Caenorhabditis elegans: one gene and its partners. Each later gene encodes a partner of the first gene's protein in a complex. Each region holds a gene or a part of one and is shown on either strand. Other genes may lie near its edges. The genes, in order: exos-4.1, dis-3, crn-3 and exos-2.

What was found.
Region 2: exos-4.1 (region 1) and dis-3 share a complex: the UniProt entries of both Caenorhabditis elegans proteins name them as parts of the RNA exosome complex.
Region 3: exos-4.1 (region 1) and crn-3 share a complex: the UniProt entries of both Caenorhabditis elegans proteins name them as parts of the RNA exosome complex.
Region 4: exos-4.1 (region 1) and exos-2 share a complex: the UniProt entries of both Caenorhabditis elegans proteins name them as parts of the RNA exosome complex.

Annotation. Positions count from the first base shown.
Region 1 is NC_003282.8:13,096,979-13,101,128, forward strand, and holds exos-4.1 (Putative exosome complex component RRP41), read left to right. Parts: upstream 1-2,026; 5' UTR 2,027-2,064; coding exon of another isoform or gene 2,065-2,091; intron 2,092-2,144; coding exon of another isoform or gene 2,145-2,259; intron 2,260-2,308; coding exon of another isoform or gene 2,309-2,495; intron 2,496-2,545; coding exon of another isoform or gene 2,546-2,548; coding exon 2,549-2,680; exon of another isoform or gene 2,681-2,736; coding exon 2,737-3,147; intron 3,148-3,361; coding exon 3,362-3,541; 3' UTR 3,542-3,628; downstream 3,629-4,150. Other genes in the region: dli-1 (Dynein light intermediate chain), read right to left, coding at 138-272, 320-550, 601-851, 896-1,060, 1,111-1,206, 1,250-1,608, 1,658-1,752; tin-9.2 (Mitochondrial import inner membrane translocase subunit Tim10B), read left to right, coding at 2,065-2,091, 2,145-2,259, 2,309-2,495, 2,546-2,552; fask-1 (RAP domain-containing protein), read left to right, coding at 3,738-3,834. UniProt on the Caenorhabditis elegans protein: Non-catalytic component of the RNA exosome complex which has 3'->5' exoribonuclease activity and participates in a multitude of cellular RNA processing and degradation events.
Region 2 is NC_003282.8:10,095,578-10,100,241, forward strand, and holds the start of dis-3 (putative exosome complex exonuclease RRP44), read left to right. Parts: upstream 1-1,624; 5' UTR 1,625-1,630; coding exon 1,631-1,717; intron 1,718-1,764; coding exon 1,765-1,961; intron 1,962-2,134; coding exon 2,135-2,450; intron 2,451-2,768; coding exon 2,769-3,009; intron 3,010-3,232; coding exon 3,233-3,671; intron 3,672-3,728; coding exon 3,729-4,030; intron 4,031-4,148; coding exon 4,149-4,549; intron 4,550-4,664. Other genes in the region: msp-36 (Major sperm protein 10/36/56/76), read left to right, coding at 1-239. UniProt on the Caenorhabditis elegans protein: Putative catalytic component of the RNA exosome complex which has 3'->5' exoribonuclease activity and participates in a multitude of cellular RNA processing and degradation events. Has both 3'-5' exonuclease and endonuclease activities.
Region 3 is NC_003280.10:10,586,299-10,593,170, reverse strand, and holds crn-3 (Exosome complex component 10 homolog), read right to left. Parts: upstream 5,130-6,872; 5' UTR 5,129-5,129; coding exon 4,890-5,128; intron 4,266-4,889; coding exon 2,835-4,265; intron 2,720-2,834; coding exon 2,197-2,719; intron 1,772-2,196; coding exon 1,468-1,771; intron 747-1,467; coding exon 613-746; 3' UTR 519-612; downstream 1-518. Other genes in the region: crn-5 (Exosome complex component RRP46 homolog), read right to left, coding at 1-159, 206-409; Alpha-1,2-mannosyltransferase algn-9, read right to left, coding at 5,439-5,594, 5,897-6,199, 6,257-6,787, 6,842-6,872. UniProt on the Caenorhabditis elegans protein: Catalytic component of the RNA exosome complex which has 3'->5' exoribonuclease activity and participates in a multitude of cellular RNA processing and degradation events. Involved in apoptotic DNA degradation.
Region 4 is NC_003282.8:6,413,871-6,417,999, reverse strand, and holds exos-2 (Exosome complex component RRP4 homolog), read right to left. Parts: upstream 2,523-4,129; 5' UTR 2,498-2,522; coding exon 2,358-2,497; intron 2,297-2,357; coding exon 2,128-2,296; intron 2,083-2,127; coding exon 1,855-2,082; exon of another isoform or gene 1,748-1,854; coding exon of another isoform or gene 1,547-1,747; intron 1,500-1,546; coding exon of another isoform or gene 1,383-1,499; exon of another isoform or gene 1,347-1,382; intron 1,273-1,346; coding exon 1,117-1,272; intron 923-1,116; coding exon 794-922; intron 747-793; coding exon 657-746; 3' UTR 540-656; downstream 1-539. Other genes in the region: Y73B6BL.22 (Nitrogen regulatory IIA protein), read left to right, coding at 1,383-1,499, 1,547-1,747. UniProt on the Caenorhabditis elegans protein: Non-catalytic component of the RNA exosome complex which has 3'->5' exoribonuclease activity and participates in a multitude of cellular RNA processing and degradation events. Involved in regulation of antisense ribosomal siRNA production.

The DNA of each region.
Region 1 (4,150 bases):
TCATAAACTTGAAACGAACTACATTATGGTTGTGTGGGTATTTACAGAAACAGCATATAATAAAAATCGTATCGCAAAGGAGAATAAAATGACCGGCGATAAAGCTTAAAATATTTAAATAGATTATGAAAATGACGTTATGCATCACTGTCCCGGGGTTGAGGTTTCGGGCTTTGCGCAGACTTCAGAAGACGATCGAGTTGGGCCTGGGTGGCTGCGGCATCCATCGGCTGGGAAACAGTGGAAGGAGAGCTCACCTTGCTCGGCTTGTCCTGAAATATGGAAATTCACATAGAAAAAAGATCTAAGATTGATTTACCTTATTGAGCAAGTTGGAGAAGAAATTGGCGAGTGGACTGTCCTTATCGGTAGGCTCTTCTTGCATAGTCCTCGGCTTGGGAGCGGCCGTAGTGGTTGAAGTTGCCAGGATGTCCATCAACTTCTTCAAGAAAGCCTGATCTTCCTCGGCTTCGATGAGCTGCTCTTTTGCGACAGGTCTAAGCTTATCGCGAGTCGGCTCTAAAGCTGAATCCACATCCGGAATAGACTCCTGAAATTAATCATGAACTCGGATTCTCCAATTACTTATGTAAAACTTACACGAATAATATCGATCTTTTTCTCTCCGTCCCATCCAGCTGGAACAAAGATCGACTCTCTTTCAATCACTTGAGCTGCACTGGTAAAAGCCGTGCCAAAAGATCGATGTACAATGTACTTTTGGAGGAGCTGAATATTTTTAGTCTCTTTTGCGCTGGTGAAGACAAGAGTCGCTCCGAGACTGAGGCAGAATTTTCTCAGTTGAATGCTGATCTTCGCGAATTGAGCATCTGTGAATTCCTTTCCTAAAACTTTTGCAAACATCATTTATTTTATTTTTCTTTAAATAATATACCCAGGTCAGATTTGGTAATGACCACCATGAACGTGACTCCACAGTTCTCAGTAAGAGTTCCTTGGTCGAGAGGAAGAAGGTTGTGCTCATCGGCGAAACTTCCAACTACGGAAGTGCTCATTTGTGATTGAACCGGATCCACATACTCTTGCCACATTTTTTCTTCTGGAAAAAATTATTTTAAATTGCATGAAGTAAAGAGTTTATAAGCTTACGTTGAGATCTACCGGCTTTCAAGTCTTCTTTGGTGAAATGTTTCTGAGCTTGCTCGGTGCACACATTTGCCCATCTTTTCAAGGAATGAATGAGATCTGAATAATTAAATACTTATTTATTTGAATATATAATACTTACTCGGATTATCAATGCTCGCGGTAAGAATGAAGATAGCTTCCGCGGGAGTTGCTGGAAGAGCATGTTTCAGAAGGGAAGCACACGCCGCATTCCCATCCAAAGACCAGACAGGGATTTGAAGCAACTCTGATGGATTGAGATTGGCTCCGGCTGTTCCCAGTTGATATGCATAACTGGCGTCACGAGCATCATTTTGCACGTGGAGCACACGATATCCAAGTAGTGATTTTGGCTTCACGGTTCTATCAGATTTGTCCAGACGGGAAAGAAGAGACGACTTTCCGCTTCGGTTGTCCCCCAGAACAATCACCGTGCTGCCTTGATTCGTGTTTGTCTTTTTGGAAGCAAGGAGCTCTCGCCTGAAATATGATTTTCAAATAGTATATTTCGTAATAATACAACAAATACCAAATTCCGACTTCTTCGTCTGTCGAAGAATACAAAACCGGAAGCACAGCATTTGCTGTATCATCAAACTCCAGTGGTTGCGCAGTTGGTGGCATTTTCTCGAAGAAAATCAATTTTTTTTTAAAATTTAATTTAAATGAAATTAAACTCAAGTCCCTCGGAGAAGTTCGTCTGCGTCTCCGCGACAAGTACACTCTCTATGCTTCGTGGAAAGATATTGAAATCATGAAAAGCGCTGCGCCTTTAAACTTCCGCAAACACCGTGACGGTAAAATACACAGAAACTTTTTGTTTTTTTTGTTGCATTTTGCATGCAAATTTTTTCTCTTTATTTAATTTTTTACTCATTTTCTTAACTTCAAATTTCAGATTATTCTCATTTCGGGGCGTTGACTGTTTTATGCTTTATGAATACTATTCAAAATATTCAACAGGTGCTCAGAAAAAAGGAAAATCCTCTCCCGCGCATTTATGTCTTTAATTTCAGCTTCGTGAATTTCTAACCGTCTACAACACTCTCAGCGAACGTTGTTTCAACGCCTGCGCTCGTGACTACACCACATCAACACTCACAAAGGACGAAGGGTCCTGTGTCAGTCAATGTAAGATTTATTGTATTGTATAAACACGATTTTGTAATCAAAATTTCAGGTATTGACAAGCAGATGCTAGTGAACCGTCGGTTTATGCTAGTATTCGCAGAACAAGCACCAAAAGCACTTTTCAAGCAAGGAGAGCAATCGCCAACCGAAGCAATCAAATCCGCTAAGCCAGAGCCAGCGGTCCCAGCTCCAGAAGCCACTCCTGTTGAAACTACTCCAGTTATTGAAGAAAATAAGTGAGATTTTCCATAATTTCTTTTAAAAAATCACGAATAATCTTTTGCAGACAATGAACATCATCTCTGAACATGGTTTCCGTATTGACGGCCGCCGTCCCGCTCAGATTCGTAACATTAACACTCGTCTTGGCTTGAACAGAAATGCGGAGGGAAGCTGTTATCTGGAACATGGTAATACCAAGGTTGGTTTTTTTTTAAGTTTTGAATTTAATTTCAAGTTACATTATTCTCTTTTCAGGTTCTTTGTGCAGTTTATGGTCCGTATGAAGGCAAATCGTCAAAAAGAATCGAAGATAAATGTGCCATTGTTTGTCAGTATAGTGCAACAAAGTTTTCGGGACTTGAAAGAAAAAATCGTACACGTGGAGATCGAAAATCAACTGAAATCAGCAGACTTCTTGAGAAAGCATTCGAATCAGTTATTCTGACGGAAGCATTTCCTCGATCACAACTTGATATTTTCTGTGAAGTAATCCAAGGAGACGGCTCCAACCTGGCCGCCTGTGTCAATGCAACTTCTTTGGCTCTTGCTGATGCAGGAATCCCAATGAAAGGCATCGCATCTGCAGCGACGTGTGGTGTTGTCGATGGAAAACCAATTGTTGATCTTACTTCTAGAGAAGAAACTGATCTCCTTCCCAGAGTTACTGTATGTTTAGGCTGAAAAATTGTCTAATTTAATGAATTTTGTAATGAGACTTCTCAAAAATTGCCGTAATTTCAATATTCCGGGAACCGAAATCATATTTTGGTTGCTATTCTAAAAAAAAAAATGTCCAAAATTTTAAGTTATTTTCCGAAAAATCGGGAAAAAACACAAACTTTCGATTTTTCGTTAAAAAATAATTGCTTAAAATTTTCAGCTCGCCACAATCTGCGGTCGTGACGAAGTGATTCTCGTGGAACTTCAAAATCGTCTTCACATTGATCATCTTTCCACAGTCATGGATGCAGCGAAAGCCACGTGTGCTGACGTGTACGAATGTCTCGCAGTAGTTGCTCAGCAACATCTGAAAGCTTGTGCTCCGATTCTAGGCAATTAGCTGTTCTTTTTTTCTTATTCATTGTTGTTTTGAGTTGTTATTCCTTTTTTTTTAAACCCATTTTTTGCAGTCGATAAATCAGTTTTTTCAAATTTAATCTTAGAAATTTTGTAAAATTTTATATGTTTCCGTCTCATTTTCGTACTTTTCTTGTTCAAATCTTGATATTTTTTTAAAAAAATTGCAAATATCTAGAATGTGGAGCCGTGGATTACCCACGCTTTGCAGGACGATTCCGTGTCGTCAGTTTTCCGTCGCAGCTCAAAGTGGAGCTGGTCCTGCAGAAATTGATGGTAGGTGCAGATTTTTTTTGCTCTAAATGGCCAGAATTTTATTAAAATTGTCAAAAAAATTTCAAAAAATAGCTAATTTCCGCTAGAATCTCCAACTTGACCAACTTTAGAGCGGCCGGAAAATAATTTTAATTCGATTATTGTGCTACTTTGGTTTATTTTACGTTATTTCGTAAATTTAGGGTAATTTTAAGCAAATTTGGCTTTAAATGTACCAATTTTTACGAAAAAACATGTGATAAATGACCAAAATAAGACAAAAATTTAATAAAAGGGAAATTTGGCAAAATATTTGAAAAATTTTGCGAAATGTGAG
Region 2 (4,664 bases), 3.0 Mb from region 1:
CCAATATGAAGAGACTTGGAGTTGATCCACCATGTGGAGTTCTCGATCCAAAGGAAGCTGTGCTTCTTGCTGTTTCCTGCGATGCTTTCGCCTTCGGACAAGAGGATACCAACAACGACCGTATCACTGTTGAGTGGACCAACACCCCGGATGGAGCTGCCAAGCAATTCCGTCGTGAATGGTTCCAGGGAGACGGTATGGTTCGTCGCAAGAACCTTCCAATCGAGTACAATCCATAGGATGTGTGAACTGGGTTTCTTAACAATAAACTTTTTTCAAGTATATGTTCTGTTTTTCTGTTTTAATCTGCAAATTGAATATATATTAATACTCAAGCGAACAAGTTTTGTGTTCCATCGATGCCCTTAACATAAGCATCCGGGATTTATTGTAAATCGTTTGGAACTATAGTAATCCTACCTTAATCTTCCAGTAGTCATTCAGTTCAGAAGACTACCCAACCATACTACTAACCCAGCCCATCTCTCCAAAACCTGAAAGCTGTTTTGCTCCGTAAAGGTCGAGGAGGGTGTATTTTTCTTACAAATCAAAGAAATTAACAAGTGAACCGATCACAACTTTTTTTGCTGATATGAGAGAAAAATACTTTATTGATTGGTTCGAGTAAATTTTCGAATTTTCGAAAAAGGAAAGATCCCTGGTATATAATGTCTCAGCTCTGCTATGTATTTTTCTATTTGAAATTCCGAATTCAAATTTTCTCTAGATGAAAGCCTTGGTATTGAATTCTATGCTGGGTTTAGTAAATTTTCGAATTTTCGATAAAAATTATATAATGAAGAAAAATATCCAAATTGGAGGTATTTTAATTTTAGAATACGGGAACGAAGAAGATCAAGATCACATACAAAGTTTAATGGATCTGAAGACATTTCAATTTATCTGGGTAGAACCAATTCTTCAACTCCAAATTCTACAGTAACCGATTCTTAAACATCTTATGGAAGTCCATCGAGATATGTATTTCATTATCATGTTCTTACCCGTTTTTTTTCAATAATGAGATTCTATATTTCGCTTAATGTTTTTATTGTTCTTATTGCTTCCAAAAATTAACATTAAAACAATAAATATTTTGCATCTTGACAAATTTAACATTTTAAAGTCTGGTCAGATTTCATCCTTGAGGACAGTGCTGTGTCTACATACATGAAAAAAAATCAAAAAGTGGCGATTATTTAGTTTCATCCGCATTAAATTTTGTAAGACAAAAAAGTTTGGCAATTTACCAAATCTATGACTGAAAAATTTTCAAAAATCTAAAAACGTTTTGAGCATTATTTTTTAAGGTTATGAGGCCCTAGATAATCATGTTTCCTACCCGATTATCTATTTTAGATGTTTAAACTTCCGTTTTCATGATTTTAGCCATACTCTATTTAGATATATTCTTCCTTTTCATTTCATTTTTCCTCGCAGCTGCGATGGCAGTGTTGTTCGAAGTGTTCGTTTTCGTAGTGCCTACGACACTCCGATGTTCCACTCGCGCGTGTTGTTCACCGTAAATGTACACTGAGTTTTTCTTCGAATAAAATAGTTTTTCCTTCATTTTTCACCTGATTCGTGCGATTTTATTTGTTTTTCACACGTATTTTCATTATTTGAAGGTATGGATTTGAACGTCAAACAAAGTGGAATTCATTCCGTCGCTTTGCACACGACTTACTTCCAAAATCGCTCGGGGAAAGTCTATAAAGTGAGAAAACCTCTCCGAAATCACCTAACCCAATTAAAATTTTGCAGAGAGCCGAAGAAAGATATCTACGAAATGATCTTTCATGTGGACTTGCTCAATGTGGAACCTGCAAGGATTTCGGCACAAATCCGCTGTTAAAAATTGAAAATCCCGTAAGAAATGCGAAAGTTGGAAGGCACGCGCTGATTGTGGATTCCACATCATTAATCAGATTCTACGATTTGTTTGATTCGTCTTTATTGAGGTAATGAATTAAAATTACAGCGGAATCATTTAAATGTAGATGGTTCTACTGTCCAATTATTAAATTCTTAATTTGTTGCTCCAAATTCAGTTTTTAGAAGTTGTCGGGATTGTAACAAACATCTAGTTTCAATTAAAAACTCTGTAAAATAATAAATTATATTTAATTTTCAGAGATCTCATCGTAACCCAGACTGTATGGGAAGGAGTCAAAGCAAAAGCTGTACCAGCCTACAAGAAAATGAATTCTTTGTGTTATGAAGATGCGAAAGACAGATTTCACGTGTTCATGAACGAATTTCACTGCGAGACCTTCTCCGAATCATCGAAATTTGAGGATTTGAGTCGTGGCGAAGAGCTTCTACTTTCAACAGCTCTTTACTTGAAAACTCATTGGCAGAAGCATAACGTGGCTCCTGTTGTCTTAGTTTTTGATGAAGATTCGAAAAAAAGAATGGAAAATCACTACCAACACGTGATGTATTTAAAGGTTAATAGTCGAAAAGTTCAAAACTCTGTGGATCTTTTCTGAAACTGGCGAAATTTCGAAAAAGAGCCAAATTTTGTTAAAAGAAAATTTTTGATTTCTTAAGACTCATAATGAAATTCTGTCGTTCCGAGCTAGTTTCAGACTATTTCAGCCAAAAACCCTAAAATATACACCTCTTTAACATATTTTCGCCGTAACTAAACTTTTATTCAACTAAAAATCATGATCCTTAATCAAAAATTGTATAATAAAGTACAATAAAGTTTGAAAAATGATCCAGTAACCCCGTAGAAAAAGAAAAAATCTCCAAATTTTCAGGAATACATACAAAATTTGGAGGATCCAGGAAAACAAGCACTTTTGGATCAAATGGCTGCGTATGAAAGCTCTGGAAATGGAAATGAGAAACAAATTTTCGATGAATATCTATCGCATGATAGAATTATGGAGGGAATTGCCAGTGGAACGATCAAAAGAGGAAATTTCAGTGTTTCAAGAGAAAATTATCGCGAAGCTACTGTTATTATTGATGATCAGTTAACATCTTGGTTCATCACAGGTGCTTGAATTTAGTTGAAATATTTATTTTCGAAAACCAACCAAATTTTTCACACAAGTCATTACTTTTTGCTGAGAATTTTAAAAAAACTTTTTTATAACGAAATTAGGTGGTTTTCGGTCATTTTGAGCGAAACAACTCTGAAATTATATTTTTAAAAAAGGTGAAATTTTTCCAAAAATTCCAATTCTCTGAATAATAAAATTTTTATTTCGAATTTTAGGAAATAATTGCAATCGTGCCGTCAATGGAGATACCGTCGCAGTTCAACTTTTGCCAGAAGACCAATGGACTGCTCCAGAGAAGAAAATTCGACTCCGTGACGTTGAAGAATATGTTAAAACTGCAGATGACATGGGAAATGAAGACGAGGAGAATGATGACGAGAACGATGAGCCAAAAGCTAAAAAGTCGAAGAAAATGACTGTTTCAACTGCAAAAGTTGTTGGAATTATCAAAAGAAATTGGCGTGAATATTGTGGAATGTTGCTGCCAAGTACAGTGAAAGGAGCCAGAAGACACTTGTTCTGTCCAGCTGAACGACTTATTCCAAGAATTCGAATCGAGACGGAACAGGCTGAAACTTTATCACAGCAGAGAATTGTGGTGGCTATTGATCACTGGCCAAGAGATTCCAAGTATCCACTTGGACATTACGTCAGGTATGTGAAATTTCAGAAAATCTTGAAATATTTTAACGGAATGACTGTTGTTTTCAGATCAATCGGAGAGATGGGATCCCGTGAAACTGAAAATGAGGTTCTCCTTCTCGAACATGATATTCCACATGCTCCATTCTCAGAATCTGTTCTTGATTGTCTACCACGTGAAGAATGGGAACCAGATCTCACTGAAAACCGCGGCCCTCTACCACGTGTTGATTTGAGAGATTTAACAATTTGTTCAGTTGATCCACTTGGATGTACAGATATTGACGACGCATTACACTGTAAACAAATTGGAGAGGATCTTTTCGAAGTTGGAGTTCATATTGCAGATGTCACGCATTTTGTTAGACCAGGTAAATATACTGAAATTATTTAAAAATTCAAGTTTTACTAAAAAAAATGTTTGTCCTTTGAGGTTCGAATAAAACCTCATTTATTTTCAAAAAAAGAACCAAAATTTCCTACGTTTAGGAACCGCAATCGACGATGAAGCAGCATTACGTGGAACTACAGTATACCTTTGTGATCGTCGTATCGATATGCTTCCATGTCTGCTCAGTTCCAATTTGTGCTCACTTCGCGGAGAAGAAGAGCGTTATGCATTTTCGTGTATTTGGACAATGACTTCTAGTGCTGATATACAATCAGTTAAATATCACAAATCTCTAATTAAATCAAAAGCTGCATTGACTTATGAGAAGGCACAAGAGATTATTGACGATCCAAAAGAGCAGAATGACGTGGCATTGGGATTACGTGGATTGATGAAATTGTCGAAAGTTTTGAATGCGAGAAGAACTGGAAATGGAGCATTGACGTTGGCATCGAGTGAAGTTCGCTTTGATATGGATTGGGAGTCCAGAACACCAAAGGTTTAAAATTTAAAAAATATTACAAAAAAAAAAGTTATATTCAAATTCAAAGAAGAAATATATTTTATACAACAGAGCGACCTAGAAACTGATTTTCATTTAGATTATTACAGTA
Region 3 (6,872 bases), on another chromosome or scaffold:
CATTCCATTGTCAAGTAGAGCAAAACAAGCTCCATTTATCGCTACAGCTCCCATACTTCCATCATCCTGAATTCCATGTACTGTGACAGAAATTGTTGTGTGGGGAAACAATTCGAGATTGATTGCATTGGATAGAGTAGAATGAATGATATTGTTCAGCTGAAAAAAGAATTATTCCAAAAGTAATTTCTACAAAAACCCCTACCACATTGAACTTGTTATCTCCACAATTTGCTCTATAACTAATATCCAGAGTCATAGCCTCATCACTTGCTTTCGAAGCGTGAACATCTCCAGGACCACTGCATGAAGCCCAAATACACGTGGCACCCTGGGAGAAGCATGCCGAGCCATCCGCGTTTTTGAGGAACGAGAGCTCACAACGCATTTCACGAAGTCTGCCGGCCATTTGGGGATATCTGAAATCAAAATTAATCACAAAAATGAATTTTGTAGAAAATATAACTGAAATTGGTGGAAAACCAAATTGAATTAAAAATAAATAAATAAAAAGATTTCAAAAACAGTTTTCTTTAATTTCAAAGCAAAAGAAAAAGCACAACAACAAAAAGTAAAATAACAATGGTAATGGGATGGGATGTAACAATTTAATCATTTTTTGTAGTTGATGGTTCCTTGTCGATTCGATGATTTTTTCATAGCCATATTCTTCTTTGTCTTGTTCTTCAATCGATATTTTTGATGGAATGGATCGAAATCGGCGTTGTTGTCTCGAACAGGTTTTTCTGGAAATAATTTATTAGGAATTTGATTTCGAGACTTTTTTGAGAGCTATATAATTGGGTACGGTATTATCCAAATTTTGAGCCAGAAAACGTTTTTTTTTTGCAAATTTGCGGTTCTTTTTGGAATTTAACGAAAAATTGATTTTTTGGTGTTTTTTTTTGGTATTTTGAATTTTTTTTTTTGGGTTTTTTAATAGCTTTTATTGGCACTTCGACGAATAACATTGATTTTTTTTTGGGTTTTTTTGTTGGAATTCAACAAAAATTGAAATATTTCTTGTATTTTGACGAAAAATTGATTTTTTTGTTTTTTTTTTCAGACCAACAAAAATATTTTTTGAAAAACCAATACATTTTCACATATTCACGATTTTTTTGAAAAATAAATTCAAGCATCAACTTTTTTTGGTTTTTGTTCGTTTTTCGCAAATTCGTAAATTTCAATTTTGGTTTTTTGTTCAAAAATATTTTTTGTCCCAGCCCTGGTGTGCTCCTTTAAAGAGTACTGTAATTTCAAACTTTTGTTGCTGCGGAATTTTTTTTAGTTTTAAATTTATTTATTAAAAAACTAAAATAAAACCGAAGAAAATTTCCCAGTAACGAAAATTTGAAACTACAGTACTCTTCAAAGGCGCACACCATTTTGCAAGTTGTCGCGACCTGGTACCGTATTTTTAGCCTTAAATCTCGCGTCTGGATAATTCAAAGGAATATAACTTACCAAATGCACTACTATCAGCTTTTTCATAATCAAAATCTTCAACGGGAGCATCATCATCAGATTTTTTCTTTTTTGGATCTGAACTACTCGACGACTCGCCGAGCACAACAGAAACATCTATATTTCGTCGAGCAGCATCTCTCTTTCTTTTCATTGCCTTCTTTGACAGTAGCTGGTCGTCGGTAAAACGAGATGGATCGAAGATTTGAGGTTCCGATGAAGATTCTTCCATTGGTGAAGGTTCTGGATCTTTCGGCTTGTTCGGATCATCTGGGACCAGCTTCAGTGTATCAACGTTTAGAAGCTGAAAATTATCTTATTAAAACCAAGGATGTCATCGGAATTTTTAAATATATTTTTTTTCATTTATTTTTTTTTTGAGAAAATCGAAAAAAAAGAAGTTTTATTTTCTGATTTTTTCAGAGAAAATCGAAAAAAAATTCATTTTTATTTATTTTTTCAGAGAAAATTAAAAAAAGATTTTAGTGATTTTTTCAGATAATTTTTTTTTAAAGTTTTTTTACTAAATTTTTTTCAGAGAAAATCGAAAAAAAAAAATTTTCTATCAAATCTGTACGTTTTTCCGCCGAAAATTTTTTTTTAAGAATAAAGCAATCTCTGAATTCCGTATGAGCAATACCGATTTTGGAATTTTCTTTTCAGACATTTTTTTTCGGTTTTTCCCAAAAAAAAAAACGATTTTTTTCAGATTTCATTATATCTACCAACCTTCGCATCGAATTCAGGTTTTCTATTAATCGGAGCATCATGATGTGAGAACATAGTCTTCGGTAGATCACCTTCCTCCAATTTCTTTCTCTCAGCCTCTTTTCTCTCTTCTTCTTCTTGCTTTTCTTTTGTAATCATCATCATTTGATAACATTCAAATGGAGTTACAAATTTGTCAAGTTCATTCAACAACTTTTTAACTTTCTGATTATCCGATTTCTTTCCTTTTTCCACAACAATCATAGTTTCCACACTTGGAATTTCAGCCGTTTGGAGCACTGATAACAATGATTCTTTATGATCTTTCAGCTCGATATCCATTCCTTCATCTGTCTTATCAATATAAATTTCTCCGCGTTCTTCGTCAAATCTAGTGTGTGAAAAGTCGATTTTTGATTTTAAAACTGAAGTGATATGATCCATAGTATCGTTCATTACACCTCGTGCTTCCTGTGCATCATTTCTTTCTTTCGCCGACAATCCCACTTTCTCAAGCTTCACATCTCTGGCCTCCACAATTATTCTGTAATTTTATAATTAGAATATTTATTATGAGGTCTTTTGAGTCCCGGAGCTTATATTTACGAAATTTTCATTTTTCGGAAAATGCTGGGACTCCCACAATTCTCAAAACTTACTTCAAAATATCACCAGTTCGCTGTTTCACAAAGTACGGTAACGGGTTACAACACGCGTAGATACCTCCAACATCTCGTGGTAATGTCTCAGAAAGTGATAGCATCATATGATTTGGAAGTACAAAATGTGGGCTCTCATCTTCTGCTCTAGCTACTACATCTCTCCATTTGAAAAGATGTGTAAGTGCATAGTCCTGTCGAGTATTCAGTGTGAATCGGAATTTTATTTCCGTCAAATATCCTTTCGGATTGAACACTGGTTTCTTGTATACTTTTATGCAAAGATCGCTAGACTCTGAGTAGACGTTGGCCAAATCCTTGGTATCTTGTTTCAGAAGTTGCTCTCGGAGCATATCATAACTATACAAAAGGTAATGAGTATCCTCTCTCGCGTAGTTTATCATCGCATTTCGTAGAGGCCGTGCTCTCCAGTCAGCCAGTTGATATTGTTTGTCCAGAACAACGTCGGCAAATCGGAGAGTGAGGTAGGCAAGACTGAATTTAGGATACTTCAGCTTTTTCATGGCAACATATGTATCAAATAAATTAACAACATGAACTCCATAATCCCTTTGTAGCCAGAGAACATCACTGTCAGAACCGTGAAAAACTTTGAGAATACGTGGATTTGCAAATGGCTCATTGAGCATTCCAACATGATCCCATATTGGGAAGGGATCAATGATAAAGTCTTCATCTCTTGTTGAAATTTGAATAAGGCAGGTCAATCCAAGATACGATCGCATTTGGTGATGCTCCAAGTCGACTGCGAACTCTTTTACAGAATTCAAAGTTTTCGTTAATGCTTCAAGCTTCTCCTTAGTATCAATCATTGTCAATGGAGTATCCTTCAATGCTGTGAATTTTAAACACTCTGCAGATTTCAGCTGAGCTTCTGGAACTTTGAAGTGAAGAATTTCAGCGATATATGGATGTTCCTCTTCAGTTTCTGTTTCAGCACTTATCCAATCTCTTCTTCCAGACTCATCGTCATCGTGGAGAACAATACCCGTTCGTTTTTCAATGGCATGATGTTTAACAGTCAATTTAGAAGAAAAAGGAGCTTGTGAGTTGTCCGAACTGATGTTATACGTCTTCTGTGGTTTTTCCAACACAACCATCTGAGCAGCTTCTTCTCTTCGTTCTCTAAACTTCTCCGCCAAAACCGTTCCAATATTCGCTGAAAACGTTCTCATTGCCGCTGAAACTTCTGCTTCGGTTTTTCGATTTGTTGGGGCGGCTTTTGTAATGAATTCTGGAACTTTGACTATCTCATCTAGCTCGGCTTTTTTCAGCGCTTCATGGAGAGTTGCTGCACGTTCTGCAATGTTGTCCTGAGCCTCGATAACACATTCTGTGTAATGTTCGACTGATGAACCGACATCTGGAACTCGCATTGCACATCCTATTGACTTGGTGACTTTGTTCATGCTGAAAATATGGAATTTCAAGTTTTTTGTTTTTAAATGAAATTTTCTCTGAACATGGCCCTGCCAAGAATGTCGTTTTCCGATTTTTTCGATGTTTTTAACTTAAAATAGAAAAGCCAAAAATGTTCGTTTTTTTTTTCGATTTTCCTAAAACTCAAAAAAAAAAGTTCAAAAAATTCACCATAAAATATGATTTATTTCAAATAATTTAGTTTATATTGATGAGAAAAAACATGACAATTTCTTCTAAAAAGAAGCAAAAATACCAAATTTTAAAGCTAATTTTTTAAAAATCTCGAAATAGCGGAAAATCGAAAAAACGGAAAATTTTCTATTGAAAAAAAATCGAAAATTTTTCGTTTTTCGATTTTTTGAAATTTTTTGTAGTTTTTTTGTAGTTTTTGGCGAATAATTTTTTTTAAAGTTTTTTTCCAAAATAACTTCAAAATTTAAAACTTAAAATGCATGTTTGATGAAAATATTTAAGCTTTTTGAAATAAAGTTTCTTTTTTTTTGTGTTTCTGGAGAAAAAAAAATGTTTTTTGGTGTTTTTGGCTTAAAAAAATGTCGATTAAATTTTTTTTTAATTTTCCGGAGCTTTTTCGGATTCAGACGCTCAACTCACAGTGCATTCAATCTCTGCTCGGATCGCTTCATAAACGTGTTGAATGTCGGATACGAGTTGTAGAGCTCATAATCCGCACCAGCTTTCGGCAAACCATTTGATTCACGAACAAGCCCGGCGCCATTTCTCATAATTTCTTCGACTTTTTTCCTCATCGCTAACGTTCTTTTTCTTATCATTTCCTCTTCTTCCTCAGATTGCTTCTGCTCTTCATCGGGCATTGATTCTTCTCCTGACATTCTGTAAATTTTCTTTGAACTTGAGAAACGAAAGTTTAGAAAAAAATCAAGAAAAATAATAAATCGTTGACTTGAAACCAAGAAAAGAAAAACAATAAATGAGAATAAATTGTAAAAAAAATATTTCTTGGTAATAAATAATATTAACGATAAATACAAATTTTAAAAATTTCCAGGCAATAAATAAGAAGAATAAATTAAATTTAAAGAAGGTGACCTAAAAGAAAAAACCCGAAATTAACATGAAATCGGAATCCCTGAATCTGAATTCCGTTCAGACAAAGTGAACAATAAATATTTAATACATGTTTTACAAATTTGATTTTCGATATAAAGTGCATGTCGTCATGACATTATGTTTGGCAGAAAGGAATGGAACATAAAATGCACGAAGAAGCCCATGGAATCCTGTTGATTTGGAGACATCGATGAATGGAAGCGAATCCACTGGTTTCCAGTTATCTTCCTAAAAATAGATATGAATTTACAATTATATATTAAGAACATTTCTACAGGAAGGAGTAGTGTGAGTATGCTTGAAATAATCCAAAATTGTCAAAAACGAAAAAAAATGGGAAAGAATGAAAATTTGAATTTAAAAATTTGATTTCCTCAAACAGGGAATTTAGCCAAAATTGTAGAATCGCGTTTTCAATTCTTTTCCATTTTTTTTTTGTTTTTCTTTTGTAGTTTTGTCGCTGAATTTGAGATGATTTTTTTTTTGAAATAAAATCTCCATTTACGTTTCTCCATATTCAAAACCCCTACCATTTTCCTGAAATCAGGTTCTCTATCCGACTGTGGCATATCAACATCAACCACATAATCGCATGAATCTAAATCCACATATCTCGATATTTCTTCTTGATTCAGATTATTCATTTCTGTTGGTATATGACGTGTAACTTCCACCAACTTGTCCGATTTTAAGAATGGTTTAGGTAAAAGTCCGCGGAATTCACTTTGAATAAATCGCATTTCCACTTTTTTCCCATCAGAAACTGTTTGTGGAATGAAGAACGATGAAGGGAAGCGGTGCCATTCTTTTCCAACGCATACACGAATTGGATCCTGAACAACTGGGAGTTTTCGAAAAAATAAAAACATTGAAATTTATAAAACTCTTACATGGAAATTTTTGAAATTCGTCCGATTCGTCAGCTCTGCGTTCAGAGATCGATAAATCTCAACGTGAGATCCATAATTGTTATGAATTGAGTACGTCCTTGATGCCGAGAGAATTGCAAAGCACAAAATGAAGAGAATGCTGAGAATATTATCCATTCCTAATTTCTTGAGACACAGTCGATTCGTGGCATCCAATGCAAGAGCAGCGAAGAAAGCAATGAATGGATAAATTGGGAATAGGAAACGTTCTTCTTTATGAGCTTGACTTCCAAAAATCAAAAGCCATGCGGCAGTGGTGACAGCCAATAGGATGATTGGTGCAAATCTTTGATAGAGTGCCACGTTTCTATCCTGAGACATCCAGACTTTTGTGAAATAGGCAAGAGACAGAGGAAAGCCAAATGGAGCAGCAAATATGACGATATTCCAGTTGTTGAAGAGATTTTTGATGTAGAAAGAGAGCGGTTCTTCTCCGTAAAGTGATGGACCAGGACCACTGACAACGTTGTAGAGGAAGATGTTTAATGGGGCCTTAAAGGATTTAATTAACTTAGAATTTAAATTTTAGAAATTAAATTTACTTACCAAAACAGTCTTTCCAAAATAATGACTATCA
Region 4 (4,129 bases), 6.7 Mb from region 1:
ATGATCGAAAGTTATTCACCATCGAGAATTAGAAGTTCGAATTAACTTCACATTGTTTTCTATGAAACGTTCATCCGATCCTCGTTTACCATTCGATCCTTTGTTATATTTTCCCATTTTTACTGTGCCCAACACCTCATATGCATCCTTTTAGGTTAGAAGTCTGCTAATTAGCAGCATAATTTTTGAGCTTTCACTGAATGTCTGTCCCATGCCTGCTCTCTCTTTTCCTTTTTGTTGTTTTCCTCTGGTCAATGTTTCAATTCTTCCTGGTTTTTTTTGAATCACAATAAACACTTTCCAGAAAATCGTCTCGATTCTCACTTGGTGGATTGAAAAGCGGATAGTGTGAATCGAAGTATATTCACTGAAATTGTTCGGTCATTAAGTTAGAATGTGGAGTTCAATTGAAACAATTCCTAGATCAAAAAAATTTCTGTGCGACCTTGGGTTTGCAAAGATTACGGGTCGATCGTTTAATTTCAGGGTATGGACCATTTCTTTCGAAACTTTCAGATTTTGTATCGCAGCTAATATCATCCGAAAAAGTAAAAAGTTTTATTTAATTGAAATGGTAAATAAGAAACTCAACAAGAAATAACAGCAACAAAAAAGGTAAATTTTAAATAGGGAGAGATCATTCAAAACAATTAGAATTACTTCTGCTGTTGAAGTTCCTGTAGAAGCCGTGCAGCAATCAGGTAGGCGAGTCGAGAAGACGTGTCTTGCTCGGCGAGCTCTTTGATCTGAAATTATTTTTCTAATTTTTTAAAACTGAAGAAACAATCGATACTTCATAAGGCTGACTCATTTCATAGCATGTTGTCAGTGAATTGAGGTAGATCGAGATGGAATAATCACGAAGAAGACGAACACAGGCAGCGATTCTGACCATAGTTACGCGTACGTCGGGAGGTACAATCTGAAATTTATTTTATTGCGAAAAAAGCCAAATTTTTTTGTTTTTCTTTTCGATTATGATGATCACGAGTATGATGAATAAATTATAAGGTCTCGTCAATCATTGGAATTATTATAATTTCTCGTTGTTGAGTCACCAAATATGTGCGCTAATTGTTATTTTCGATTCATTTTTCTCAAGAATCACTATCACACCTGAAACTCGTGAACATGTGATCCATCCTCTTCAAGTGTGGTCTCCGGCAACGACGGCGTGACCCACACACTTCCGTTGCAGCCAATAATCACAGCCATTCCGTAGGGTAACGTGTGAAAATGTTTCTTGGACTTTTTGATCAAATGTGGAGGAACCTGCAAAAAAAAGAAATTAATTCCGTGACTTCCCACTCATTTTGTGGATTTTTTTGTCGCTTTATTTATTTTGGCAGCATAAACAAAAAAGAAATATTGCTTTGAACGAGATGTCGCATAAGAATGAGAAAACTCAACACTTTGAAAAGGCGGAGGATATTCGTACAAAAGTGCTCGATTCAATGATCTACCGACTCGATGAACGTGCAAATATGGTTATCACGGAGGTTAGCTTTTCATTAATTTTTTTTGAAATAGAAAATTATTATTAAAGAGCCCAATTCCCGAATGGCGTGCTTATACACAATGGATTCTCATTGCTGCGTTGCTTGTAATTTTTTGTATTCTTCGTTATGGCGTCGAGACTGTTGAACTGCATCCAACTGCAAAGAAGGATCAAGATCCTGTGATTGAGTACAGAGATCGAGAATTGAATAAAACTTCTGAGGCTTTTAGAGCAAGACGCCGTACGTGAGCTAATTGGAATCAATTGGATGATGAATTTAAAGAAATATAACAACTTTCCGAACTATTATTTAAAAATTTATAATTGCGTTTTCTTAAGATTTTATAAAATATTACCTTAATCAATATTCCTTGTTGCAATTTTCCGTACTTATTATTTCTTGTGTGTAGCATAAGTGTTCCGTCGTGCTGGACTTGTTGGACTTCTGCACAGATCAGTTCTCCGTTTTTCAAGAATTCGCTCATTTTCTCCTCATCTTCTACATCTTTTCTGCGAAAGTCTCCTCCTGGCAGGAGAACTGAACCTAGTGGAAGATTTGCATGAAGACGAGATGCCACATCACACTGAAAAACAATTATCGTTATATTTTTCACTTAAAAATTTGAAACCTTCCACCGTTTTGCTTGAACCTCCACGACACGGGCAACTACAACATCTCCGACTTCACCAGCATATCGTTGTTTAATAGTTTTAACCATCAACAGTCGATTTAATTGTTGAACGACTCCAGAGAGAGAACTGACGATTTCTCCGTCGCGAACGTAAGTTCCATGTCCTCTGAAAATCTTAATTTTTTCATTTTTCAAAAAGATATAACAGTATTTTACAATATACATACCTCATAAACTGTTGCGGTGCATCACAAACTGAATGTCCTGGAATAACAATTTTTGTCTCATCAATATCATTTCTTGCTTCGGACATTGATAACATCATCCATGGTGATACGAGGGGTGGACCGGTGACTTCGAAACTCATTTTTTAAATTTTTTTTGTCTGCAAATAACCAAATTTAAATAAACTTAAATTAAACAAAGAAACTGAAAAAAGCTTTCATTCGAAATGAAAATAAAAATAATTATTTCCAACGACACTCCGAAATGACGGAAAGCGTGCTGTTTATCGTAAACCCACACGTCACTCAATTGGCGCCTATTCAAATGTTGATTTTCGACCATAAAAGTGCGAGCCAATTGAGCGTGCAAATTTAATTGTTTCTGCTAAACCAATGACGATGAAAACCCGAAATTGAAATAAAAATAAGGTTCGACACGAAGCCATTGTCTGACTTTTTATAAAGGTGTCATTGGAAGGAAGTGTGAGTTGAATGGGACACCTATAATTTCGACTTGCATGCGAACGGGAAAAATACAACAAAAGAGGATACGTAGAAATATATTGGAGAAAAACTGAGTATTTAAAACAGAAGTAAAAATCGTAAAGGAAAAATTTTCAAAACTTTGGTGGTTTATTGTGCGATTTTTAAATATTTCCTAGATTCCGATTTTGCGGGTTTATGTACTCTTTTTTATTTAGGTTGACTGTAAAAGTATTCTTCTCCATCTAAAAATTAAAAAAAAAACATTTTCAGACGGTAGACGGTCATGTGGAACTCTTAGAAAAAAGTTTTGAAATTTTGAAAAAATTGAAAAAAAATCAATGTTTCTGAAAAAACATTTATAAAGTTACCATTTTCTGATTAACAATGTTCGAATTTTCGAATTGGTATTTCTTATTTTGATTGAGAGTTTTATGAGAAGTATTGAAACATATTTTTGATATTATTCTTAAATTTCGTTAAAAGTTATTAAAAATGCATATGTACCCGGAATATTGTAATTGAGCCAGTATTTGAACAACTTCTCAAGAACTTCAACTAAACATTCGGTTAATTTCAGGAAAATCAATATTATTTCTTCTGTTCTATTCATATTTCAGATTGAAATCTTTCACAGAACAGTGCAAATTTCCTAAAAAGAATGTGTCGCAAAAGAAAGGTCCACATATTTTTCTAGCAGTTGTACACTTGCTCCATATTCGAAGCTCATTTTTTATTTTTTGTTTTATATCAAAAATTGTTAACTGACAACTAATTGACTATTTACTTTTCTAAAATTTCCCATAAAAATAGTAGTAGGAGTCTTACAAAAGCTCCCAGAAAAATTTGTAAAAAATCGAAAAAAAAAAACACTGTTTCTGATACACTATTTACAAAATTGTGGTTCATCGAAAACAATGTTTTCAAAATATTGTATCTAATACATCGAGGCATTGATTAATTTTAGAAGTTATAACTTGGTTGTCTTTAAATTTTTGAACAACTGTCAACTGGCAACTTATTGATTATTTAATTTTCTAAAATTTATCAATTTTACAGTTTGTAAACTGTTTTGAATGAATTGAGATATGAGCTGTTAAAGTATGATAGTCAGGTGCAAGTACTTATTTATTTTGTCATTTCATTTTTTCGTAGTTTTAAAATCGCTAACCAATGTCTAGAAAACTTTATACAAAATTATCCATAATTTGCATTATCAGAGCCCTTAATTTCCCACAAAAATTCGGCGAAAAATGTGGGTGGACGGACGGGTGTTTTTCGATGACAAATGG